Linked DNA regions of Macaca fascicularis. The protein of the gene in region 1 purifies or fractionates together with the protein of each later gene. This does not show direct contact. Links are inferred from orthologs where the notes say so. Each region holds a gene or a part of one and is shown in the gene's direction. Other genes may lie near its edges.

Region 1 (4,090 bases):
AGATGAATTCAGTCCATGGCTTGCAGGCTTGGAGGTGGAGGTGGGATGGAGAGCATAAATTACATTTCTGCAGGTGAAATCAGAGCATAGTGAGCCAAAACCCCTTTCTACCTGGGTGGCATGAATGGGTCCAACTGCTACTATCCCCCAGGACGAGGGAGCAAGGCGGGGTGGGCAGGATGGGAGGATGGGGCTGCCTTGAGCCTCCTGCAGGATGACTGGCAACTACTTTCTTAGCGGTCCTTAAGGTCCAATCGCGGTTAAGGCACTAACTAAACTCATTCTTCAGCCTCCTTCTCTAAGTGCTCCTCGAATTGCTCAGTTTAGATGCCCAGAAGTAGGCTCAGGATCCATTCTCTGCGGCAGCACAATGTAGGTCAGATAGCATGAATGCAACAGCTACTTATGAACACAATAGCTACTCTGTTATTGCAAGGTATCCACAACCACCACTACAAAGATTAACACCTTGCTTTACTTGGGGGAAAAAAAAAAAATCATGGTCCTATTCAGCAGTTTCCCCATACAGGGAGAGTTTGCCCCTCCCCCACTCAACAAGGCTGTTCATCCCTAGGAAGTGATTGGAAGTGATTTGAGAGTTTTCCAAGGATTTAGGCTTTCCACTCCTCCAAAGCTTTCACAGTTCTACCTGGCAGAGGTGCGTGGGGGGTAGGGGAGGAAGGGCGCGAAGCTAAACGTCCCCGTGCTGCAATGAGCCTGATATTAGCAGAAACACAAGAGCAGCCTGCAGCCCCATAACCACAGTGCGTCCTTCCCCTTAGAAGTCTGGGGAAAGCAAATCCCTACGCCCAGCCATCATTTCCACTCTTGCGTTTTCAAAAGATCAAAAAACGGAAAGGACCGGCAGGTTGGCAAACCCCAAAGAGGGACCGCCCATCAGGTCGGCGTCCTTGGGATCTCAGCCGCCGACGACCCCAATTCAAATCGATCGTGGGAAACCCCAGGGAAAGAAGGTTCACTTGCAGAGAGACAGGATTACAGGGTGCAGGCTGCAGGGAAGTACCGCGGGGAAGGGGGCCTGGTCGGAAGGACTTTCCAGCCACTTGGCACTCATCAAAAAGTTCCCTGTCCGTGACCCCAGTGGCTCATCGCAGGGAGTTTCTCCGACGAACCCCAGCTCAGGGTTTAGGCTTCTTTTTCCCCCTAGCAAAGGACGAAGCCAGTTCTCTTTTCTGGTCTGACTGGCTTGGAAATTCCCCGCGCCTGACCCCGCCCCAGAGAAATCCCCAGCCAGCGTTTATAGGGCGCCGCGGCGGCGCTGCAGAGCCCACACCAGCCCGTGCCGCCGTCCCGCCCGCCAGCGCCCCAGCGAGGAAGCAGCGCGCAGCCCGCGGCCCAGCGCACCCGCAGCAGCGCCCGCAGCTCGCCCGCGCCATGTTCCAGGCGGCCGAGCGCCCCCAGGAGTGGGCCATGGAGGGTCCCCGCGACGGGCTGAAGAAGGAACGACTGCTGGACGACCGCCACGACAGCGGTCTGGACTCCATGAAGGATGAGGAGTACGAGCAGATGGTCAAGGAGCTGCAGGAGATCCGCCTCGAGCCGCAGGAGGTGCCGCGCGGCGCGGAGCCCTGGAAGCAGCAGCTCACCGAGGACGGGGACTCGTAAGTGGCGCAGACCCGGAGCCGGGGGTCCTCGGGAGGGCCGGATGCGCGCGGCCGGGGAGTGGGAGGCGCCGGGCCTGGAGCCCGAGCTGGGGAACTAGCGATGCAGCCGGGCTGGCGCCGCGGCGCCCCGGGGCTCCTGCACCGCCCCGAACGCTGCAGGGCTGCAGGGCCGCGCGGGGCACCGGCCCGACTCGGAGGGGCGGCGGCTGGGCCCTGGTGGACGGCAGCGTCGCCACACGCCCCCTCCCCCCAGGCCTGTCCTCTAGGCCGGGGGCGGGGCGGCAGCTGGGACGCGAAGTCCCCGGTTGCATAAGGCGGGGCGGGAGTTTCTGGCCGCTGGCGGGCGCCGAGCAGCCGGGAGGGGAAGTACAGGGCGTTCCGAGCTGGCGGGAGGGCGGGGCGGTCTGGCCGGCGCCCGCCGGGGCCGCGGGGGGAGGGGGGCGGAAAGTCCCTGGGCGCCTGCCAGGAACACTCAGCTCATAATAACCTCGCGGAAAACACCGCGGCCTCGGCCTCCAGAAACCCCGGCCTTGCGCAATCCCCCGCAGCCCGCGCCTCCCTGGGCCCCACGCGGTGCACTCACCACCCCTGGGGTTTTTCCCTCTCTTCCCCACAGGTTTCTGCACTTGGCCATCATCCATGAAGAAAAGGCACTGACCATGGAAGTGATCCGCCAGGTGAAGGGAGACCTGGCCTTCCTCAACTTCCAGAACAACCTGCAGCAGGTGCGCCGCTTGCCTGGCCCGGGCTCTCTAACTCTGGGATGGAACTGATGTAGCAAAGTCACCCCAGATCCTTTCTGAATTCAGGGCCACAGGGCATTATTCACCCTCACCTTTTACTTCACGTCAGCCCACATCCTAGAGAGTGAAGGAAATTCCACTGATTTGGTGAGGTCTTTGTGACCCACCTGGAGTCTCTGCTATTTGCCAGTCCTCCCCACCCGCCTGTCTAGGAGGAGCAGCACCCAACCAGGAGACACGGGTTCAGGGGAACTCAGGGTGTGGGTTTGGTCCCTGGCTTACTTTCTCTGGTCTCTCCTGCATTCGTAGACTCCACTCCACTTGGCTGTGATCACCAACCAGCCAGAAATTGCTGAGGCACTTCTGGGAGCTGGCTGTGATCCTGAGCTCCGAGACTTTCGAGGAAATACCCCCCTACACCTTGCCTGTGAGCAGGGCTGCTTGGCCAGCGTGGGAGTCCTGACTCAGTCCTGCACCACCCCGCACCTCCACTCCATCCTGAAGGCTACCAACTACAATGGTATGTCTGCCTCCCTGCCCTGCCCCACCCCCTCAGGTGGCAGGTGATGTGGAGAAGGGGCAGGTGGGCCAACTTAAGGAGTCGAGGCAAGAACTTAAACTGCCAGCATTTGAAAGGTTGAGAAAATATGTGTGCAAAGTGCCTGTTGGATGCCTTTATAAAGTTCTTTCAGAACCCAAACGGTGGGTTCTTAAAATTCAGAAGATATGACTATTTGTCCCATAAAAGAATAGGTGAAAGGAGTGAGGGTTGAAACAGGTGGTTATACTTTTTTCGTTTTGTTCTTCCAGGCCACACGTGTCTGCACTTAGCCTCTATCCATGGCTACCTGGGCATTGTGGAGCTTTTGGTGTCCTTGGGTGCTGATGTCAATGCTCAGGTTAGTGCTTCCTGCCTCCGATGCACTGAGTCAAGTTCCTCGTGCTCATGTTGTGAGCAGAAATTCCAAACGCAGCCATAAGCATCTCAAATTCCTTTTGGTTTCAGGAGCCCTGTAACGGCCGGACTGCCCTTCACCTCGCAGTGGACCTGCAGAATCCTGACCTGGTGTCGCTCCTGTTGAAGTGTGGGGCTGATGTCAACAGAGTTACCTACCAGGGCTATTCTCCCTACCAGCTCACCTGGGGCCGCCCAAGCACCCGGATACAGCAGCAGCTGGGCCAGCTGACACTGGAAAACCTTCAGATGCTGCCGGAGAGTGAGGATGAGGAGAGCTATGACACAGAGTCAGAGTTCACGGAGTTCACGGAGGATGAGGTGAGTCTGTGAACTCCTTGGGCTCTCTAACTAATGAGGGACCATTCCCTTCACCCTCCCGGGCCCCTAGAACTGCTCCTTATCAGAGGGGTATCTACATAATGAGTCTCTCAAATTTCTGTGCATAACCAGTATCCCAATAATGTACCTTTTTTTTTTTTTTTTAAATAGCTTACCCTTTTTTAAAGAAAAGCATTTTTTAAAACATTTTTAAAATGGGAGTTAAAGGCAAACTCCCTCAGCCTGTAAAGTTCATTGTATTTGGGCTATGGAGAATGGAGTCCAAGGGTTATTTCCAGTAGCGGCCTCCCCATCCCAGTGGCTTGGCAGAGCTTCGGAAGTTTAATGTGTCTTCTTTCCCCTTGTTTTCAGCTGCCCTATGACGACTGTGTGTTTGGAGGCCAGCGTCTGACATTATGAGCGCAAAGGGGCTGAAAGAACATGGA
Region 2 (3,043 bases), on another chromosome or scaffold:
CTGGGCTTCTCTCCAGCCTTGCCTGGTGGCTGTCCTGGGATAATGGCTGGTAGAGGATCTGAGAAGTAGGCATAGGTTACCACCTTCTCACCCAGGACCTGTCTCTGGGCCAAACAAGCAAGATAACTGATTTTTGGGGGCAATTGGGAAAGACTGTCATTTTGTTATTGCCTCCATTCTGTATCCTTTCAGGTCCTGAGATCATGAGCAAATTGGCTGGTGAGTCTGAGAGCAACCTTCGTAAAGCCTTCGAGGAGGCTGAGAAGAATGCTCCTGCCATCATCTTCATTGATGAGCTGGATGCCATCGCTCCCAAAAGAGAGAAAGTAGGAGCTTACCTGAGGGGATAGTGGGGGGTTGAAAGGCCCTGACTTCACTTCTGACCAGACATCCTGTTCTGGCAGACTCATGGTGAGGTGGAGCGGCGCATCGTATCACAGTTGTTGACCCTCATGGATGGCCTAAAGCAGAGAGCACATGTGATTGTCATGGCAGCAACCAACAGACCCAACAGCATTGACCCAGCTCTACGGCGATTTGGTAAGGACTCCAGATACTTTTGACCATGTCCTTGCTTAGGTCCTACCTCTCTCCTTCATCTAAGTCACCTAATCCTCTTGAAGCCCTTCACAGTGATTGGATCTGGGTTTCTTTTTCCTTTATCCTACGTCCTGTCTAGAGTGACCATCCACCCTGGTTTTCCTGAGACTGAAAGGTTTCCCAGGGTTGAGACTTTTTCATTGCTAACATTAGGACAATCCTGTGCTAGCTGAGATGGTTGGTCACCCTAGGCCTGTCTCTTACCTCTGGACTAGAAACGAGCCCTGTCTATGTTCATGCACTGTCCCACAGGTCGCTTTGACAGGGAGGTAGATATTGGAATTCCTGATGCTACGGGACGCTTAGAGATTCTTCAGATCCATACCAAGAACATGAAGCTGGCAGATGATGTGGACCTGGAACAGGTGAAGTGATGATGAGGGCTGACCAGGCGTTACAATATCTTTAGGCAGTTGCTGGGAACTGGCTAGAGACATAAGGTTTTGATGTGAGGAGATGGGTTTTTATTTCTGGACAGGGGAAAGGAGGTAATCTGAGATTAAATCCAGGAAATTGGAGTTGGCATTTTTCTCACTTGACGCTGCATTTAGAGTAAATCAGAATTGTTGGAGCAGCTTTATTTCTAGGTCCTGAGTCCAGGATTAAGTACTTAAAACCCAGCCCATAAAGGTTTTGCTAGTATATGTATTCAAGGAAATTAGAGGACGCAGGGATAGCAGTCAGGGGAAGCATTCTATTATCTCTGAGCTTCCTGCGGCAGCTGGGTCTTTGAGGCAGCACAGTAAATAGATCTTTCTCTGCAGGTAGCCAATGAGACTCACGGGCATGTGGGTGCTGACTTAGCAGCCCTGTGCTCAGAGGCTGCTCTGCAAGCCATCCGCAAGAAGATGGATCTCATTGACCTAGAGGATGAGACCATTGATGCCGAGGTCATGAACTCCTTAGCAGTTACTATGGATGACTTCCGGGTAAGGACCACACCCCTGCCTCAGGTACACACATATGTGCTTTGACCCCTCTCCTGGTAAGTCTCATCCCCAGTTTTCCCTCCTTTTCTAGTGGGCCTTGAGCCAGAGTAACCCATCAGCACTGCGGGAAACCGTGGTAGAGGTGCCACAGGTAACCTGGGAAGACATCGGGGGCCTAGAGGATGTCAAACGTGAGCTTCAGGAGCTGGTCCAGGTAGGGTAACTTGGTCCAGGGTGAGTCACTGCCTCAGTACATTGTAATTGACCTTGGTGATCTTAGGGTGTCAACACGTTTGCTGCAAGAGATGTGAGAGCACGACTTAGGAACCTATTTTTCTTAGATTTGAGGCACTAAGGAGTCTGCTTCTAGAGAACCTGGATCTGATACCATTGGGTACACCATGAAGTAATGGAGGGCATGCTTCTGTTTAGTTAGGTTTCTTTCACAAGGTGGAGGTAACCTTGAACCCTCTTTCCTTTTCCTCCTAGTATCCTGTGGAACACCCAGACAAATTCCTGAAGTTTGGCATGACACCTTCCAAGGGAGTTCTGTTCTATGGACCTCCTGGCTGTGGGAAAACTTTGTTGGCCAAAGCCATTGCTAATGAATGCCAGGCCAACTTCATCTCCATCAAAGGTCCTGAGCTGCTCACCATGTGGTTTGGGGAGTCTGAGGCCAATGTCAGAGAAATCTTTGACAAGGTGAGCTACAATAGGCTGAGCTATCTATTGATTTGCCTGGGGACAAGGAATAGAAGCTGTTTTTCTTTAAGACGGTTGAAACATTCTTATTACTGGCTGCTCAACTGGACAGCAAGTCACTTGATTTTCTGAGGTGTGAGAGAGCTGTTTTTTTTGTTTTTTTTGTTTTTCTTAAATTGAGACAGGGTCTGGCTCTGTTGTCCAGGCTGGAGGGCAGTGGTATAGTCATAGTTCACAGTAACCTTGAAACCTGGGCTTAAGCCATTCTACTGCAGACTCCTGAGTAGCTGGGACTACAGGCATGCGTCACCACATCTGGCTAATTTTTTATTTTTTGTAGAGATGAAGTTTCAGTATGTTGCCCATGCTGGTTTTGGATTTCTGGCCTCAAGTGATCCTCCCACCTTGGCCTTCCAAAGTGCTGGGAATACAGGTGTGAGCCACCACGTTTGGCCGAGAGATCTAGTTTTGTTAATGCTTGAATCAATCCATTCCTCCTACAGGCCCGCCAAGCTGCTCCATGTGTGCTATTCTTTGATGAGCTGGATTCAATTGCCAAGGCTCGTGGAGGTAACATTGGAGATGGTGGTGGGGCTGCTGACCGAGTCATCAACCAGATCCTGACAGAAATGGATGGCATGTCCACAAAAAAAAATGTGTTCATCATTGGCGCTACCAACCGGCCTGACATCATTGATCCTGCCATCCTCAGACCTGGCCGTCTTGATCAGCTCATCTACATCCCACTTCCTGATGAGAAGTCACGTGTTGCCATCCTCAAGGCTAACCTGCGCAAGTCCCCAGTTGCCAAG
Region 3 (3,500 bases), on another chromosome or scaffold:
TGTTCATTGTATGTTACTTTACATATCCTAGAGTTTCATATAAATGGAATCATGCAGTATGTGCTCTTCTGGTCTAACTTCTTTCACTCAGCATAATGATTTTGAGAGTCATCATGTTATTATATGTATCAGCAATTCATTCTGCAGATGCTTATTTTGAATTTTAGTTATTATAGAAAGTAAATAATTTTTTTTCTCTGTTGTATCTTTAGAAAAGGTTTACATGGGACTGGTGACACATTCTTTGAGCCTAAAGTCCCTCCTGGGGCTTGTTTTGATATACTATGTGTAAGTCCTTTAACATTTGAATGGAGATAGAAAAAACTTACATATGCTTCTGCAGGGATTTAAATGCATTTTCATTTTCAGTGAATGGTCTTTTCATTCAGTATTATGAATATGATGTAAAATCAAGCAGTTAAATACATTTAACTCACTTTAGGAGTGTAATATTTTACTTCTGAGTACTATCTTCTTTACCCTTCTTGGGGAATCTTGGGGGAAACCCTTCTGCTAGGTCTCACGTGGGAGGTGGATATCTCTGAAGTGGTTATCTCAGAAGTTCATATTGATGTTAGCTATAGATATTAAGCTATAAAGTGCTAACCAATCAATATGGTTTGAATGACTTGTTTTGACACTACATAGGGACTCAATCTGAATGGGAAAAAAAGGTGCCTCTCCCAGCCAATCTCCAAGATAACATTTCAACCTTGTTATTTAATGTTAGGAGGAAAAAAAAATCTTTATTTTAGTCTGCTGTTATGAAAAAACAGACGTGTTAAAATCCATTATTAATTGCTATATTAATCTCACTCACCTCCTCCTTTTAAAAAACTTTTCAGGTGCGTATAACCCGTATATAGAGATAATTGAACAACCCAGGCAGAGGGGAATGCGTTTTAGATACAAATGTGAAGGGCGATCAGCGGGCAGCATTCCAGGGGAGCACAGCACAGACAACAACCGAACATACCCTTCTATCCAGGTAATAGACCCTTCTTCTATGTCTATCTCGCTATTAGTTGCTTCATATATTAGCTATAGCAATTATTTTAAAGGGACAGTTTCTTAACAATCATCTCCACAGTTTTGTCTTTTTCTTTTTTCCTTTTTTCTTTTTCTTTTTCTTTTTCTTTTTCCTTTTCCTCATAATGTTTAGTCGCTCTACTTAGGTTAATACACAGCACCATATAGCTATCTGCAGTGGGGATAGTTGGCAGCTTTTGGATCATGTTCTTTTTCATGGAACACAAAGATAATAAGGAAAACCCATTCTCTACAGAGGTGGGTGATACTCTTCTGTAGATTAAACATAGGTTTGATAACTCAATCATAATTCTTCTTGGCTAGTCTTAGGGCTAGAACATTTTTTTGTCCTTTTTCTTACCTTTGTTGCTTGTCTCTGATTCTCTGGGTCATTGACTGATTTGAAATACCACTTTATAAATGTAGTTTTCTCACATTAGCATAAATTTTTAAAAGCTTTTGACTAAAAATGACTTTGGTAAACATACTAATAGTTATAAGATGTACTAAATTTATTTATTTATTTTTGAAATGGAGTTTCGTGCTTGTTTCCCAGGCTGGAGTGCAATGTCACAATCTTGGCTCACTGCAACCTCCACCTCCTGGGTTCAAGTGATTCTCCTGCCTCAGCCTACCGAGTAGCTGGGATTACAGGTGCCCACCACCACGCCCAGCTGATTTTTGTATTTTTTAGTAGAGGCAAGGTTTCACCATGTTGGCCAGGCTGATCTCGAACTCCTGACCTCAGGTGATCCACCTGTCTCGGCCTCCCAAAGCGTTGGGATTACAGGCATGAGCCACCGCGCACAGCCAAGATGTACTAAATTTATTTACTTATTATATATTTATTTATTTTTTTTTGAGACGGAGTCTCACTCTTTTGCCCAGGCTGTAGTGCAGTGTCACAATCTCTGCTCACTGCAAGCTCCACCTCCCGGGTTCACGCCATTCTCCTGCCTCAGCCTCCCGAGTAGCTGGGACTACAGGTGCCCACCACCACTGGTGCCTGGCTAATTTTTTTGCATTTTTAGTAGAAATGGGGTTTCACCATGTTAGCCAGGATAGGATGGTCTTGATCTCCTGACCTCGTGATCCACCCACCTCAGCCTCCCAAAGTGCTGGGATTACAGGTGTGAGCCACCACGCCCGGCCTATTTTTTATTTTTTTGAGACAGAGTTTCACTCTGTCGCCCAGGCTGGAGGGCAATGGCATGATCTTGGCTCACTGCAACCTCCGCCTCCCAGGTTCAAGTGATTCTCCTGTCTCAGCCTTCTGAGTAGCTGGGACTACAGGCGTGTGCCACCACACCCAGCTAATTTTTGTATTTTTAGTAGAGACGGGGTTTCACCGTGTTAGCCAGGATGGTCTCAATCTCCTGACCTCATGATCCGCTCGCCTCGGTCTCCCAAAGTGCTGGGATTACAGGCGTGAGCCACTGCACCCAGCCCAATGTACTAAATTTATATTTTCTATTTGTAAACTGTTTTTCATTTGAGTTTCAGTGAAGGGTTTATCCTTTAAATGCCAATTAAAAACTTGAATGGTAAAGTAGATTTTGAAGTGTTACTTTTTTTTTTTATTTGAAAAGTGTTACTTTTATCAACAGATCTTAATTCATTGTTTTATAACTAGATTATTTACAAAGTCTATTCTGTTGATGAACTTAAAGGGAATTGCTAAGTTATAGAATAAATCAGTGGCAAAATTATATATTGAATTCCAGATTTCTATTTTTATCACATTTTTGGCAGTAGTATGGATTTGGGTTATCTAAGTCTTTTAAATGTTAAAATGGGTGAGATGCTAATAAAAAGGAACTAAGGAGCCGGGCGCGGTGGCTCAAGCCTGTAATCCCAGCACTTTGGGAGGCCGAGGCGGGTGGATCACGAGGTCAGGAGATCGAGACCATCCTGGCTAACACAGTGAAACCCCGTCTCTACTAAAAAATACAAAAAACTAGCCGGGCGAGGTGGCGGGCGCCTGTAGTCCCAGCTACTCGGGAGGCTGAGGCAGGAGAATGGCGTGAACCCGGGAGGCGGAGCTTGCAGTGAGCCGAGATCCGGCCACTGCATTCCAGCCTGGGCGACAGAGCGAGACTCCGTCTCCAGAAAAAAAAAAATTTAAAAAAAAGGAACTAAGGAAATACTCTTTGGCCAGTTTTTTGAGTCATTTTTAAAGTTTTCTTCATAATTCGTCTTATCCTATGCATCTCTAAAATATTTCTAAGATCTGTATTTTTACTATTCCAGTAGGTCCTAAACACTTTACAGCTTGAGTTGTGTATTTGCCTACTTATAGTCTTGAGCAATTACCTTTACTTTCATACAGAAAGAAATGTAATACTTCCTGGTTACTTTCAAATTCTAATTCAAAATTATGGATTTTAGTTTCCTCTACCTCGTAAGCTAGCCATTCTTACTTTACCTTGCTCCTTTGTGGTATGCTGGTTTTTATATTCCCCGCTTTGTTC
Region 4 (3,500 bases), on another chromosome or scaffold:
CACTGCAACCTCTGCCTCCCGGGTTCAAGCGATTCTCCTGCCTCAGCCTCCCAATTAGCTGGGACTACAGGCAACTGCCATCACACCTGACTAATTTTTGTATTTTTTTTTTTTTAGTAGATACAGGGTCTCACCATATTAGCCAGGCTGATCTCAAACTCCTGACCTCAGGTAATCTGCCTGCCTCAGCCTCCCAAAGTGCTGGGATTATAGGTTTGAGCTCCAGCGCCTGACCATTTTTTTTTTTAAATCTAAATTGTACACATACGGAAAGCTTCTGTGCAGGTAATCAGAGTATTCTGAAATAAGGAAGTTATGGACCTAGTTAGCCTTCACCGTGTCATAAAAACTCCTACATTTGTACCACCTTCAAAGGGGAGCATGCATTTTGTTTATGTGTCTATCTGTTTACCTGTCTTAGGTTGGAAGGGTTTCAATGGGGCTACATTTCTTCAATGTTAGAATAAAGAATGAATAAATCAAGAAAAATAAGCACTTGTATTAGTTTTCTAGAGCTGTCGTAGAAAAAGTACCAAAAGTGGTTGGCTTAAATAGCAGAAATATATTGCCTTACAATTCTGGAGACTAGTTATCCAAGATAAAATGTGTTGGCAGGGCTGGCTCCTTCTGAAGGCTATGAAGGAGGCATCTGCTCCATGCCTCTCTTCCAGCTTCTAATAGTTTCCTGGAAACCTTTAGCATTCCTTGGCTTATAGGTGCATCACCTTGATCTCTGCTTTCTTCTTCACCCTAGCATATTCCTTGTGTGTAAATGTCCCTTTTTAGTAAGGATACAGTCATGTTGGATAAGGGTCTATCCTAATGAGCACATGGTAACTAAATAGTATTTAAATATACTATCTGCAAATAAAAGGACATTCACACATTAGGATTCCAGCATCATTTGGGGAGAAACAGGACAGACCTTATCCCTCCGCTACATATTCTCAATATACTTGGCCTCCTTTATGGATAGAGACTTTTCTCCCACGACCAACAGATGTTTCTTTAAAAAGTATATTCATTGAGTCTATGTCACGTGTGTGATCCTGTAACTATTTTAGCCTCTTTTCGTCTTCCCTAAAGATATACACCTTTAGGTTCCTATCACCATCCTCGCCTTATGTCCAGGCCACGGTGAAATTTCAACATTTAAAACCACAGCATGCCCTAGAACTACATAGCTGGTCTGAATCTCTCCATTTCTATACCCCCATAGCACTGGGTATCAGTATAACTGTTGTAACCTTTACCTTTGTTGTCTGTTTAAATCTGTGCAGTAGTGGAGAGAACTCTGAAGGAGGACCTTGGAGACCAATACATTCACTCTTACTCTACCGATTAGATTAGAATGAGTGATCTTTGTAAGTTACTTAATTCTATTGACACACCTGAAGAAAGGGAGTATTCTTCTTTCTCAAGGGTTTTGTATGAAGAATAAAGAAGTCAAAATTATTTCCAAATTGTAACTGGTTATAAAATTCTTTATGATAAAATTATTTTCTTATTGTGATGGTGGCGGTGGTGGTGGTTGCAGTGGTGTGTGGGTGTGTGTGTATGTCTTTGAGGAGTGAGTGTGAGGTCATGGGAGGACTTGCTATGGGTAGATGTGTTAGGATGTGAACTCTTCTTCACTGGAAACCATAATCATGGTCCCAAAGCTCAGCTATTGGGAAACTGCTAATTGATGGAAAGAAAAGATGAAAATCTGATTCAAAGGTCTAATCATCTATGGAGGGAGAGGAAAGTTGTAGCTTTAAATATTCATTCAACATTTTATTCCTGTATGTGATTCGCTCTTCTATGTATAGAGGACATATCAGTGAACAAAAACAGTCCCATGTCTATGAATGGATTACTTTTCAGGAGGAAGAAGTAGACATTTAAAGAACAATCTTATATATTACATAGTAAAAATAAGAAGATAAATGTGCAGTGAGTGATATTACTGGTGGTTTTGCTATAAGTAAGTTATAGTATGTCCTTCTAAGAAGAGGACATCTAAGAGATTGAATTAAATTTAAGAATGACTCTTGCTAACATCAGGGGAAGGATCATTTTATGGAGAGAGAGGAGCAAGTGCAAAAGCCTTGAGGAGTCATAGATTTGATAGTTTAATTGAGGAGGTGTTTTTTACATGTGGAAAAAGCAGAGGAGATAAACCTTAACAGTATAAATAAAATAATTCAGATACCAAAGACCATATATTATGATTCTATTTTTATCAATTGATTAAAAATCCAAAGGATATTAGTGATTGTCTGGAGCTTGGGATCAGAATAGGAGTAACGGCATTAGGGTTTGTTTTTTTTTTTTTTTTTTTCAGGTGGTAAAAATAATTTTAAATTGTGTTACAGTAACAGTCATATAGTTCCACAAATTTAGTTGAAATTATCACATTATACACTTAAAAATGAGAGTGTATGATGCTATGTAAATACAACTCAGTAGCTTAAAAATACACAAATATTAGTGAATCATGCAAATATTAGAGATACAATCACGTCATCCAGAGAGAAAAGCATGTGCAAAAGCCCAGGGGCAGTGGTGTGCTTAGTGCATTTAACATGGAAAATGTGTTTTGGGTTGGGGAACAAAAGGCAGGATAAATGATGGGTTACACGAACCTCTTGGTAGAAAAGCTTCAGTTTGTCCTCTCCAGTAGAAGAGAAAATAACAATAATTGCCTTGATGGGGTGAAATTTGTCCTGAGACAAAAATTAAGAATAAAGTGTTTCAAATTACTACAAAGTCCATTTTATTCTGTCATTGGTTTATTCTTCTTGCCTTTCTTTTCTCCTTTCTCTGTTAAATATTAATTTTTGGTCCTGTTCTAAATCTCTGTAAAAGCAGTATTCTTTCTATTCCCGCTTTTCTTACCCTGTCCCCTTCAACATTTCCAGCACTGCAGGATTTTCTGACCAAGAAGTTCAAGAGTCAAGACAGAAAGAAGCCAAGGGAGCAGTGCAATGGATTTCTCAGTAAAGGTAGACATAGAGAAGGAGGTGACCTGCCCCATCTGCCTGGAGCTCCTAACAGAACCTCTGAGCCTAGATTGTGGCCACAGCTTCTGCCAAGCCTGCATCACTGCAAAGATCAAGGAGTCAGTGACCATCTCAAGAGGAGAAAGCAGCTGTCCTGTGTGTCAGAGCAGATTCCAGCCTGGGAAGCTCCGACCTAATCGGCATCTGGCCAACATAGTTGAGAGAGTCAAGGAGGTCAAGATGAGCCCACAGGAGGGGCAGAAGAGAGACATCTGTGAGCACCATGGAAAAAAACTCCAGATCTTCTGTAAGGAAGATGGAAAAGTCATTTGCTGGGTTTGTGAACTGTCTCAGGAACACCAAGGTCACCAAACATTCCGCATAAACGAGGTGGTCAAGGAATGTCAGGTAGGCTCCAAGGTAGAGGAAGAGAAAGCAGAGAGCAGAAATGGTACCTGATGTGAAATCTCCACGTTTTTTGTCCTGCTTTATTCCCCTTTTCACCATAGAACTGAG
Region 5 (4,170 bases), about 47 Mb from region 1:
ACCTGAGGATGCTTTCAGAGCACCACCTGTGTGTGACTCTTTGCCATCTTGCCTTGGCTCACTTCCCTGTGTGCTTGGAAAGCAGAGATGATAGGTGAGACCCCAAAATGCAACTTCCAAGCCATCTCCTTTTCAAAGCCCACATCCCCCAATTATTTTGCAACCAACATGAAGAGGACAGAGTTTCTGCCCAATGGGTTGCTTTTTGGGAGAGACTGAGCAGATGACTTCATATGAACCCAGATCTAGTCAACCTTCTAGCCTGAAAAAACCTGAAATGAATAGTAGATAGTTTACATAGGGACTGAGGCTGAATGAGCAAAAGGGTGGAGAGATGGATAATGAACACATAAACAAGTATGACAATTTCAGTAAAGAAGATAAAATGGTGCAAGTATATGCTGACAGTAGGGTATTGTTTTAACTACGCTGGTCAGGGTAATCCTTTCTGACTGGTGAAAAGCAGAGAAACACACCAAGTGAAAATTCTAAAAGTGTGAACCTGACCATAATTTTTTTTTAATTTTTAGAGCCAGAGTCTTTGTCTGTCACCCAGGCTGGAGTGCAGTGGCGCGATCACAGCTCACTACAGCCTCAAACTCCTAGCCTCAAGCCATCCTCCTGCCGCAGCCTCCCAAAGCAGTAGAATTACAAGCGTGAGTCACCATGCCCGACCATCATTTTTTTTTTTTTTTTTGAGACGGAGCCTCACTCTGTTGCCCAGGCTGGAGTGAAGTGGTGCACTCTTGGCTCACTGCAACCTCCGCTTCCTGAGTTCAAGCGATTCTCATGCCTCAGCTTCCTGGGATTACAGGCGTGCACCACACACCCGGGTAATTTTTGTAGTTTTAGTAGAGACGTGGTTTCACCATGTTGGCCAGGCTGGTCCCGAACTCCCGACCTCAGGTGATCCACCCTCCTCGACCTCCCAAAGTGCTGGTGCTGGGATTACAGGCGTGAGCCACCCAGCCTTCCTCATCATAATGTAAATGTCCAAAATGTATACATCAGCAGTAAAAGTGAAAGCCAGAATGAAAAAGGGAGATGATTACAGAGGTAAAGTCTCATGTGATTGGAACCATTTCGGGAAACAGGACAGGAATGGTAGCAATTAAGAAGCCGGTCCACACTATTTGCTATCCTAGGTGTGAATAGTGAAGAGAAAGTGAAAGTAGAGCGCCAAGGGTAAGAGAAGGAAATTAGTTATTCCACCTTCTGGTTGGCTACGGTCTTCCTGCCCTCCTCCCCATGGCGCAGCAACTCCTCCACCTGCTGCAGCGCCCCAGCTCCCACGAGGGCCACGGGTTCTAGCTCCGCCCCACAAGGAGGACTTCCGTGTCCTCGGCCATCCCACTACCCCCTCCCTTAGCGGTTCTGCGCAAGCGCGGGGGCCATATTAGCAGCGGTTATTCGGGCAGCCCTGGTGGTTTATTTTCCCGCGGAGATAAGGGCTCAGTGGACATCTGAAGTCTTCAGGGTCTTCCATCTGGTGAGCCTTTGGCCCCTGGGGGCCCGCGGAAGCATGGCCGCTCTTCCCTTCGGCGGGGGTAGTGAACGTCAAGACAGTCGGTCCCGGCCTGCAGTTGCCGCCGAGGAGCCGTGGGCACGATGACTCTGCACCGCCTCCACGGTGACAGACCAGCCGCCGGGAATGGCCCCCTCCGGCCGCCGTTGGAGGCTTCCCCGTGCCGAGCCTGGACGCCGGGGCCCGGCGAGGGGGCGAGCTGAGGGTGGGGATCTGTGGGCAGGACCGAGGACTCGGGGCGGCTTCCGTCCCCGGGAGTTCGGTACGTGAAAGTTAGCGCTCCCAGAGGTGCCGGTGAACTCAAAATCGTGCTGTGACCGGCGTCAGGCGTGGAGACCACAGAAAGTTGTGCTTACGCTCGAATCAGAAATCCCCGGCGAGTCTCTCTGTGTCCTACCTGTTTCTCTGCTCTGGGCCATCCTTACTTTGCACCTTCCTATTACCTCAACCAGTTCGCTGCCCTCCGTCTCTCACGAGCCAGAGGGATCATTTAAAATGCTAATCAGTTCTTGCGGGCCTTGGGAATCATTCCGAGGAGCCCCAGTGGCTGAGAGAGAAAATTCTGTTTTTACCTGGGCACGCGGGCTCTCCAGGATTTGATTCCAGCTTACCTTTCCAGTCTTGATTCCCTGTATTCCAGTATTTGGGAATGTGGGCTTTGGACTGAGGCTTTACCAAATAACACTGAGCACCCAGTATTGCCTTTTGCACGAATGGTACTGATGGTGCCCAAGATAACTGCCTCCACCCCCAAGTTCAGGACTCTCTGGAGAAGGCCTAAGTGTCTTAACTTGGCATTCAAGGCTCCGCGGGATTTGGATACTCGCTTAGCTCTTATTTATGTATTTTTAAAAACATCAGCAGTTTGTCTCATGCCCACTAAGCTATCCTGCCTCAGTACCCTTTGTTCATACTTTCTGCTCTGTCTGGAGTGCCCTTCCCTTCTTTCTTCCCCTGTTCTTTCTCTTAGACCCAGGAGTTCTCAGCCTTATTTCTGCCTCTCCCGTCTCTGATTTACTTTCATTTTCTGTATCGGTTTCTCAAAAAATACTTTCTGGATTTTTTTCATCATCCCTTTTCCCATTCTACCCCCGGTTCCTCTTTCTGCATTATAATCTATGACTGCCTCTCTCACCTAACTGCCAGTATTAGCTTTTCAGGACAGGAATTGGTTTTACACATTTTGGTATTCCAGCATCTAGCATAACGCCTGACACTTAGCTGAATAAAGGGAGTAAATAAAACTAATTTGTAAAGTCAGCAAATGCTTTTTAATTTGTGAATCTTATTTTAATGATGATCTGATTTTCTTTTTACAGGAACTATATAAAGTTCAGAAAACATGGTGAGTTAATACATGTGCCAGTAAACTGTTGCCTGATAAATAGTATTGCTTGTACTCAGCTTACAGACTTGTGTGGGAAAATTGAAATAGAAGGAAAGCAGTGAGATGGTGCCTTTTTTCTTGTCAGTTTCCTCTCATCTGCTGAACTTTGTATACCAGGATAGGTTTTGTAAGGTGATTTGTGGGCTTGCAGGAGTTGGCCTACTTTCAGTGGGTAGGAATCACTCATGTGTTTTTCCTTTGCAGTCTCGAAGATATGACTCCAGGACCACTATATTTTCTCCAGAAGGTAAAATAGAAATTGTTTAATCTGCCTCAAGTTTAAAAAAAAAATGTGTTAGACTTTTAGAAAAAAAAAATTACAAACTTTTTTTGGTAGTTGCAAAGTTCATCCTTTTTGTACTTCGAAGCAATTATGGTCACCGGGTTGATTATACCATAGAAGAGTGAAAGTGGGAATTTGTTTCTAGCTTGCTTCCTTGCTAATTTCTTTTGGGTCAGTGGTGCAAGAGCATAGAGGAGAGTCTTGGCTTCTCACTGCTTTTGTTTTGTAGGTCGCTTATACCAAGTTGAATATGCCATGGAAGCTATTGGACATGCAGGCACCTGTTTGGGAATTTTAGCAAATGATGGTGTTTTGCTTGCAGCAGAGAGACGCAACATCCACAAGCTTCTCGATGAAGTCTTTTTTTCTGAAAAAATTTATAAACTCAATGAGTAAGTGAGATTTTAGGAAAGAGTTTTAAAAAAAATCTCACTTTCTCACATAAGTGGGATCTATGTAATTTGGGAGGGCTCTTCTGTGTGATGTGGTAGGATTGAAGTTGTACCTTTATTTTGCTTGAAACCTCTTTGAGGCCTGGTACCATGTGTTACTCCTTTTAAGTGCAGGGCAAACACTTAGTAGAGAAACTAGCATTGTGTAGTGGTAAGAGTACAGACATAGTAGTCACACTGATTTGGGTTCAGCTCCAGGCTTCCCCCATGCAGGCTATGTGATCTTGCACAAATTATTTAATTTCTTTGGGCCTCAGAGTCTCCTCAAGTGGTTGTGGCAGTTTAATGAAATAAAATGAATGAAATAAAATAGTATAGTGTCAGGCATATAGTAGGCCCTCAAAGTATTGTTTAGAATAGCTATGCAGGATTTTGTTGAATTATACTGAATCTTACTAAAGAACAAGCCTGTTGGAGATCTGGGAAGAATTTAGCCAAGCCTTGTACACGGTGTGAGATGTTGGTTATATTTAGATGTGCAGAACTTTGCAGCTCATGGAGAGCTGGCCATGCTAAGTAGAGA
Region 6 (2,737 bases), on another chromosome or scaffold:
GCAGGAGGCCAAAGAACTGAAGAAGGTGATGGATCTGAGTATAGTGCGGCTGCGCTTCTCTGCCTTCCTTAGAGCCAGTGATGGCTCCTTCTCCCTGCCCCTGAAGCCAGTCATTTCCCAGCCCATCCATGACAGCAGTGAGTATCCTGACTACCTGGGGTGCCAGGCCTGGTGGCAGAGGTGGCACGAGGGGTGACCTTAAGCTGTGGAGTCAAACAGGCCCAGGTTTCAGAACCTGGCCCTGCCACATAGATGCTGAGTGATCCTGAGCAAGTCATTTCCTCCCCCTGAAGCTTCTATCTTTAGTAAATGCGAATATTGGGTGGTTCCTGCAGCTCCAGGGGTTGCTAAGATAAGGAATACAGAGCACCAAGCTCCTTAAATGTGGCCATGGCTATTGCATCATCTCAGCTAATCCATATCCCACCCCATAGAGTCTCCGGGGGCATCAAACCTGAAGATTTCTCGAATGGACAAGACAGCAGGCTCTGTGCGGGGTGGTGATGAAGTTTATCTGCTTTGTGACAAGGTGCAGAAAGGTGAGACTGGAGCCCAGGCTGGGCGCCAAGGACATCGAATATAAGACTGGGGCCAGGGAAGCTCTAGGATAAATGGCCCCGGAGATTCCACCGGGAGCTGCGGCCAAGCTTCCGTTTTCCTTGTAGATGACATTGAGGTTCGGTTCTATGAGGATGATGAGAATGGATGGCAGGCCTTTGGGGACTTCTCTCCCACAGATGTGCATAAACAGGTATCCAGGGCTAGGGCCCAGGCTGGGGGCTAAATTAGGCTAAGGACTCACTGACACCCTGTGTCTCCCTGCACCCCCCAGTATGCCATTGTGTTCCGGACACCCCCCTATCACAAGATGAAGATTGAGCGGCCCGTAACAGTGTTCCTGCAACTGAAACGCAAGCGAGGAGGGGATGTGTCTGATTCCAAACAGTTCACCTATTACCCTCTGGTGGAAGGTGGAGCTGGGCTGAGGACCCCAGGGGGATGGTGGGGGGCCAGGCTGGGCTAGAAGGTCCCAAGAGCTAGATGTGGGGATGCATGAGCCAAGTCAGGAGTGTGGAGGGTCTGAGGAGGTGCTTCCTAGGAGCCAGCCTGAGGGCTCTTCTGGGAAGGGCCCCTGAGGCATGACACAATAATTGGGCTCAATCTCATTTTCCTCTGCCCCCAGACAAGGAAGAGGTGCAGCGGAAGCGGAGGAAGGCCTTGCCCACCTTCTCCCAGCCCTTCGGGGGTGGCTCCCACATGGGTGGAGGCTCTGGAGGTGCAGCGGGGGGCTATGGAGGAGCTGGAGGAGGTGAGGGGGTGCTGATGGAGGGAGGGGTAAAGGCAAGAGAAGCTGTGGAGGAAAAAAAAACAGGGAGAGGCCAGGCGTGGTGGCTCACGCCTGTAATCCCAGTACTTTGGGAGGCCAAGGCAAGCGGATTACCTGAGATCAGGAGTTCGAGACCAGCCTGGCCAACAGGGTGAAACCTCATCTTTACTAAAAATACAAAAATTAGCTGGGCATGGTGGCAGGCGCCTGTAATCCCAGCTACTCGGGAAGCTGAGGCTGGAGAATCGCTTGAACCCGGGAGACAGAGGTTGCAGTGAGCCGAGATCGCACCACTGCACTCCAGGCTGGGCAATAAGAGCAAAACTCCATCTCAAAAAAAAAAAAAAAAAAAAAAAAACCAAAACTGGGAGAGTCCTGGCTGGTGCCCGTTTCCCACAGCCCTGCCTGTACCCACAGGTGGCAGCCTCGGTTTCTTCCCCTCCTCCCTGGCCTACAGCCCCTACCAGTCCGGCGCGGGCCCCATGGGCTGCTACCCGGGAGGCGGGGGCGGGGCGCAGATGGCCGCCTCGGTGCCCGGCAGGGACTCCGGAGAGGAAGCCGCGGAGCCGAGCGCCCCCTCCAGGGCCCCCCAGTGCGAGCCGCAGGCCCCGGAGATGCTGCAGCGAGGTATGGCCTCCAGGGCACGGACGGTCGGGGCGCTGGGGCTGAGGACCCAGCTCTGACCCACGCCCTCTGTCGCCCCCAGCCCGAGAGTACAACGCGCGACTGTTCTGCCTGGCGCAGCGCAGCGCCCGGGCCCTACTCGACTACGGCGTCACCGCGGACGCGCGCGCGCTGCTGGCGGGACAGCGCCACCTGCTGACGGCGCAGGACGAGAACGGAGACACGTAGGCAACAGAGGGCCTGGCGGACGCGGCGCGGGGTCGGGTGGGGGCAGGAAAGGGACCGGCACAGAGCCGGGCTCTGCAGTTTTCGGACACACCAGGCTTCAAGTCCGGCCTCTTTGTTCACCAGCTCTGTTCAAGATGCTTGGTCTCTCCAAATTTCAGTTTTGTCGACCGTGCAAGGGGTACAGTTATAGCACTTACCTACCTCAAAAGGTGCTAGGAAACGTTAAGTGCAGGCACAGCGATGCCCTGGGCCACGTGCTGGGTTCCACGGGCCCCAGCGAGGGAGTCTATGAGGGCGGTGGGGCTTTGAGAGCGAAGGATGCTCTGAGTGGCTGGGCCAGACTCTCGCTCCCCAACCCCCAGACCGCTGCACCTGGCCATCATCCATGGGCAGACCAGTGTCATTGAGCAGATAGCCTATGTCATCCACCACGCCCAGGACCTCGGCGTCGTCAACCTCACCAACCACCTGCACCAGGTGCGGGGGCGCCTACTGGGGAGGTGGGAGGGGTTGGAAGGCAGGTGGGTCTCGGGCCTGGCTCACCCTGCTTTCATCCCC
Region 7 (3,500 bases), on another chromosome or scaffold:
TCTCAAAAACACACAAACAAAAAAACAAAAATAGCCAAGCGTGGTGGCATATGCCTATAATCCCAGCTACTTGGGAGGCTAAGGCAGGAGAATTGCTTGAACCCGGGAGGCCGAGATCGTGCCACTGCACTACAGCTTGGGCAACAAGAGTGAAACTCCATATCAAAACAAAACAAAACAAAACAAAAAAACCGGGCGCAGTGGCTCACGCCTGTAATCCCAGCACTTTGAGAGGCCGAGGCAGGCGGATCATGAGGTCAGGAGATCGGCCCATTCTGGCTAACACGGTGAAACCCTGTCTCTACTAAAAATACAAAACATTAGCCAGGCGTGGTGGCGGGCGCTTGTAGTCCCAGCTACTTGGGAGGCTGAAGCAAGAGAATGGTGTGAACCCAGGAGACAGAGCTTGCAGTGAGCTGAGATCGCGCCACTGCACTCCAGCCTGGGTGACAGGGTGAGACTCCGTCTCAAAAACAAGCAAACAAAGTGACTGGCACATAATAGGTGCTCAGTAGAAAGTTAGCTGCCACTATGATTCGTTTTTTTTTTTTTTTTGAGATGGAGTTTCGCTCTTGTTGCCCACGCTGGAGTGCAATGAAGAAATCTCAGCTCACTGCAACCTCTCCCTCCTTGATTCAAGTGATTCTCCTGCCTCAGCTTCCCAAGTAGCTGGGACTACAGGTGTGTGCTACCACACCTGGCTAATTTTTTTTTTTTTTTTTTGAGACGGAGTCTTACTCTGTCACCCAGGCTGGAGTACAGTGGTGTGATCTCAGCTCACTGAAACCTCTGCCTCCTGGGTTCAAGTGATTCTCCTGCCTCAGCCTCCTGAGTAGCTGGTATTACAGGTGCACACCACCACACTCGGCTAATTTTTGTATTTTTAGGAGACACAGGGTTTCACCATGTTGGTCAGCCTGGCCTTGAACTTCTGACCTCAGGTGATCCACCCTCCTAGGCCTCCCAATGTGCTGGGATTACAGGTGTGAGCCACCACGTCCAGCTTAATTTTGTATTTTTAGTAGAGATGGGGTTTTACCACGTTGGTCAGGCTAGTCTCGAACTGCTGACCTCAAGTGATCCACCGCCTTGGCCTTCCAAAACACCTGGATTATAGGCATGAGCCACCGTGCCTGGTGATTAGTTTTATTTTTAGGAATATTAGAGGCCAGGCATGGTGGCTCACTCCTGTTATCCCAGCACTGTGGGAGGCCAAAGTGGGAGGATTGCTTGTATCCAGGAGTTTGAGACCAGCCTGGGCAACATGGCAAAACCCCTTTTCTACAAAAAATACAAAAAAAAATCAGCCGGGTGTGGTGGTGCATGCCTGTAATCCTAGCTACTTGGGAGGCTGAGGTAGGAAGATCTCAAGGCCCAGAGGCAGAGGTTCCAGTGAACCAAGATCATGCCATTGCACTCCAGCCTGGGTAACAGAGCAATACCCTGTCTCAAAAAAACAAAAACAAAAACAAAAAAAAAAAACAAGGCCGGTCGCGGTGGCTCACGCCTGTAATCCCAGAACTTTGGGAGGCCGAGGTGGGTGGATCACCTAAGGTCAGGAGTTCGAGACCAGCCTGGCCAACATGGTGAAACCCCGTTTCTACTAAAAATACAAACAATTGGTGGGATGTGGTGGCTCACACCTGTAATCCCAGCACTTTGGGAGGCCAAGGCAGGTGGATCACGAGGTCAGGAGATAGCAACCATCCTGGCTAACATGGTGAAACCCTGTCTCTACTAAAAATACAAAAAATTAGCCTGGCATGGTGGCAGGCACCTGTAGTCCCAGCTACTCAGGAGGCTGAGGCGGGAGAATGAATGGTGTGAACCCCAGAGGCGGAGCCTGCAGTGAGCCGAGATCGCACCACTGCACTCCAACCTGGGCGACAGAGCGAGACTCCATCTCAAAAAAAAAAAAAAAAAAAAAATAGGCCAGGCGCGGTGGTTCAAGCCTGTAATCCCAGCACTTTGGGAGGCCGAGGCAGGTGGATCACGAGGTCAGGAGATCGAGACTATCCTGGCTAACATGGTGAAACCCCGTCTCTACTAAAAATACAAAAAACTAGCCGGGCGTGGTGGCGGGCGCCTGTAGTCTCAGCCACTTGGGAGGCTGAGGCCGGAGAATGGCGTGAACCCGGGAGGCGGAGCTTGCAGTGAGCCGAGATCACGCCACTGCACTCCAGCCTGGGAGACACAGCGAGACTCCGTCTCAAAAAAAAAAAAAAAAAAAAAAAAAAAAAAAATTAGCCAGGCATGGTGGCGGGCGCCTGTAATCCCAGCTACTCGGGAGGCTGAGGCAGGAGAATCTCTTGAACCTGGGAGGCAGAGGTTGCAGTGAGCCGAGATCACGCCATTGCACTCCAGCCTTGGCGACAGAGCAAGACTCTCAAAAAAAAAAAAAAAAAAAAAGAATATTAGTCTTGATTTTGGGGGAGGCTGGGCAAGTTGGGAGCACAGTGGCCCAGATGTCCTGGCTTAGCTGATGTCCCCCGTTTCCTGCCAGAGGACATATCAGTGGTGTTCAGCAGGGCCTCCTGGGAAGGTCGGGCTGACTTCTCCCAGGCGGACGTGCACCGCCAGATTGCCATTGTGTTCAAGACGCCGCCCTACGAGGACCTGGAGATTGTAGAGCCTGTGACAGTCAACGTCTTCCTGCAGCGGCTCACCGATGGGGTCTGCAGCGAGCCATTGCCTTTCACATACCTGCCTCGCGACCATGGTAACTACAGCAACCCAGGGTGACCCAACACCTCGGAGACTAGGTCTTCGGCCTTGGGGAGACCCCAGTGGGGAGGGGAAAGAGGCGGAACTAGAATGCAGGCTCAGAGCTACAAAGACGGTGTTCAGATCCCGGCTCTGCTGCTTACTGGCTGTGTGACCTTGGCCTCTCTGAGCCTCATTCTTCTGCGCAAAATGGAAATAATAGTAGCCGTCCTGTGACATTGGAGAGTATTTAATCTTTCCTCCCCTCAGCATCCTGCACATGCCTGGGCCTGTGCTCGGTATTGCTAGAGACACAGCAGTGACCAACAGAGCCCCTAGCTGTGTCCCCATGAGGCTTATAGTCCTGAGGATGGGGGACAGCCTGTCCCCACACAGTGATGACCAGAGTGGGCAGGACTGGAATAAAGTGCTCAAGGGCTCGCATTGCCCAAAGGGGGCACCTAACCTAGCTGTGGGCATCAGGGAAGGCTTCTTGGAGGAGGGGACAGCTGAGCTGATGACAGGAGGATGATTAAGCAGGAAGTTTTCTAGGGAAGTAGTGAGAGTTGAGGAAGAGTGTTTTAAACAGCTGGAACAGCAGGTGCAAAGGTCCTGAGACTGGATTGTGCCTGGGGTGCTCCAGGAACAACAAAGAGGCCAGTGTGTAGGCTGAGGCAGGTGGATCTCCTGAGGTCAGGAGTTCGAGACCACCCTGACCAACACGGCGAAACCCCGTCGCTACTAAAAATACAAAAATTAGCCGGGCGTGGTGGTGGGCGCCTGTAGTCCCAGCTACT

What was found.
Region 2: the proteins of NFKBIA (region 1) and VCP purify together in Homo sapiens (affinity purification with western blotting; 7 studies listed by BioGRID and IntAct, with this or other methods). This does not show direct contact. The link is inferred for Macaca fascicularis from reciprocal best matches to the Homo sapiens genes NFKBIA and VCP.
Region 3: the proteins of NFKBIA (region 1) and REL purify together in Homo sapiens (affinity purification with mass spectrometry; 6 studies listed by BioGRID and IntAct, counting the BioPlex papers as one, with this or other methods). This does not show direct contact. The link is inferred for Macaca fascicularis from reciprocal best matches to the Homo sapiens genes NFKBIA and REL.
Region 4: the proteins of NFKBIA (region 1) and TRIM22 purify together in Homo sapiens (affinity purification with western blotting; 3 studies listed by BioGRID). This does not show direct contact. The link is inferred for Macaca fascicularis from reciprocal best matches to the Homo sapiens genes NFKBIA and TRIM22.
Region 5: the proteins of NFKBIA (region 1) and PSMA4 purify together in Homo sapiens (affinity purification with western blotting; 3 studies listed by BioGRID and IntAct, with this or other methods). This does not show direct contact. The link is inferred for Macaca fascicularis from reciprocal best matches to the Homo sapiens genes NFKBIA and PSMA4.
Region 6: the proteins of NFKBIA (region 1) and NFKB2 purify together in Homo sapiens (affinity purification with mass spectrometry; 6 studies listed by BioGRID and IntAct, counting the BioPlex papers as one, with this or other methods). This does not show direct contact. The link is inferred for Macaca fascicularis from reciprocal best matches to the Homo sapiens genes NFKBIA and NFKB2.
Region 7: the proteins of NFKBIA (region 1) and RELB purify together in Homo sapiens (affinity purification with mass spectrometry; 4 studies listed by BioGRID and IntAct, counting the BioPlex papers as one, with this or other methods). This does not show direct contact. The link is inferred for Macaca fascicularis from reciprocal best matches to the Homo sapiens genes NFKBIA and RELB.

Annotation. Positions count from the first base shown.
Region 1 is NC_088381.1:103,221,237-103,225,326, reverse strand, and holds the start of NFKBIA (NF-kappa-B inhibitor alpha), read left to right. Parts: upstream 1-1,290; 5' UTR 1,291-1,395; coding exon 1,396-1,622; intron 1,623-2,241; coding exon 2,242-2,350; intron 2,351-2,677; coding exon 2,678-2,888; intron 2,889-3,178; coding exon 3,179-3,267; intron 3,268-3,374; coding exon 3,375-3,644; intron 3,645-4,016; coding exon 4,017-4,064; 3' UTR 4,065-4,090. UniProt on the Homo sapiens protein: Inhibits the activity of dimeric NF-kappa-B/REL complexes by trapping REL (RELA/p65 and NFKB1/p50) dimers in the cytoplasm by masking their nuclear localization signals.
Region 2 is NC_088389.1:64,370,425-64,373,467, forward strand, and holds part of VCP (transitional endoplasmic reticulum ATPase), read left to right. Parts: intron 1-192; coding exon 193-326; intron 327-404; coding exon 405-540; intron 541-852; coding exon 853-965; intron 966-1,364; coding exon 1,365-1,529; intron 1,530-1,620; coding exon 1,621-1,743; intron 1,744-2,018; coding exon 2,019-2,231; intron 2,232-2,734; coding exon 2,735-3,043. UniProt on the Homo sapiens protein: Necessary for the fragmentation of Golgi stacks during mitosis and for their reassembly after mitosis. Involved in the formation of the transitional endoplasmic reticulum (tER).
Region 3 is NC_088387.1:61,078,999-61,082,498, reverse strand, and holds part of REL (proto-oncogene c-Rel), read left to right. Parts: intron 1-845; coding exon 846-988; intron 989-3,500. UniProt on the Homo sapiens protein: Proto-oncogene that may play a role in differentiation and lymphopoiesis.
Region 4 is NC_088388.1:68,345,598-68,349,097, reverse strand, and holds part of TRIM22 (E3 ubiquitin-protein ligase TRIM22), read left to right. Parts: intron 1-2,903; 5' UTR 2,904-2,969; coding exon 2,970-3,392; intron 3,393-3,500. UniProt on the Homo sapiens protein: Interferon-induced E3 ubiquitin ligase that plays important roles in innate and adaptive immunity.
Region 5 is NC_088381.1:55,902,836-55,907,005, forward strand, and holds the start of PSMA4 (proteasome subunit alpha type-4), read left to right. Parts: upstream 1-1,370; 5' UTR 1,371-1,489; intron 1,490-2,844; 5' UTR 2,845-2,867; coding exon 2,868-2,870; intron 2,871-3,116; coding exon 3,117-3,159; intron 3,160-3,424; coding exon 3,425-3,587; intron 3,588-4,170. UniProt on the Homo sapiens protein: Component of the 20S core proteasome complex involved in the proteolytic degradation of most intracellular proteins. This complex plays numerous essential roles within the cell by associating with different regulatory particles.
Region 6 is NC_088383.1:111,407,063-111,409,799, forward strand, and holds part of NFKB2 (nuclear factor NF-kappa-B p100 subunit), read left to right. Parts: coding exon 1-137; intron 138-434; coding exon 435-539; intron 540-665; coding exon 666-751; intron 752-832; coding exon 833-971; intron 972-1,183; coding exon 1,184-1,309; intron 1,310-1,744; coding exon 1,745-1,954; intron 1,955-2,033; coding exon 2,034-2,175; intron 2,176-2,541; coding exon 2,542-2,656; intron 2,657-2,737. UniProt on the Homo sapiens protein: NF-kappa-B is a pleiotropic transcription factor present in almost all cell types and is the endpoint of a series of signal transduction events that are initiated by a vast array of stimuli related to many biological processes such as inflammation, immunity, differentiation, cell growth, tumorigenesis and apoptosis.
Region 7 is NC_088393.1:53,067,705-53,071,204, forward strand, and holds part of RELB (transcription factor RelB), read left to right. Parts: intron 1-2,503; coding exon 2,504-2,719; intron 2,720-3,500.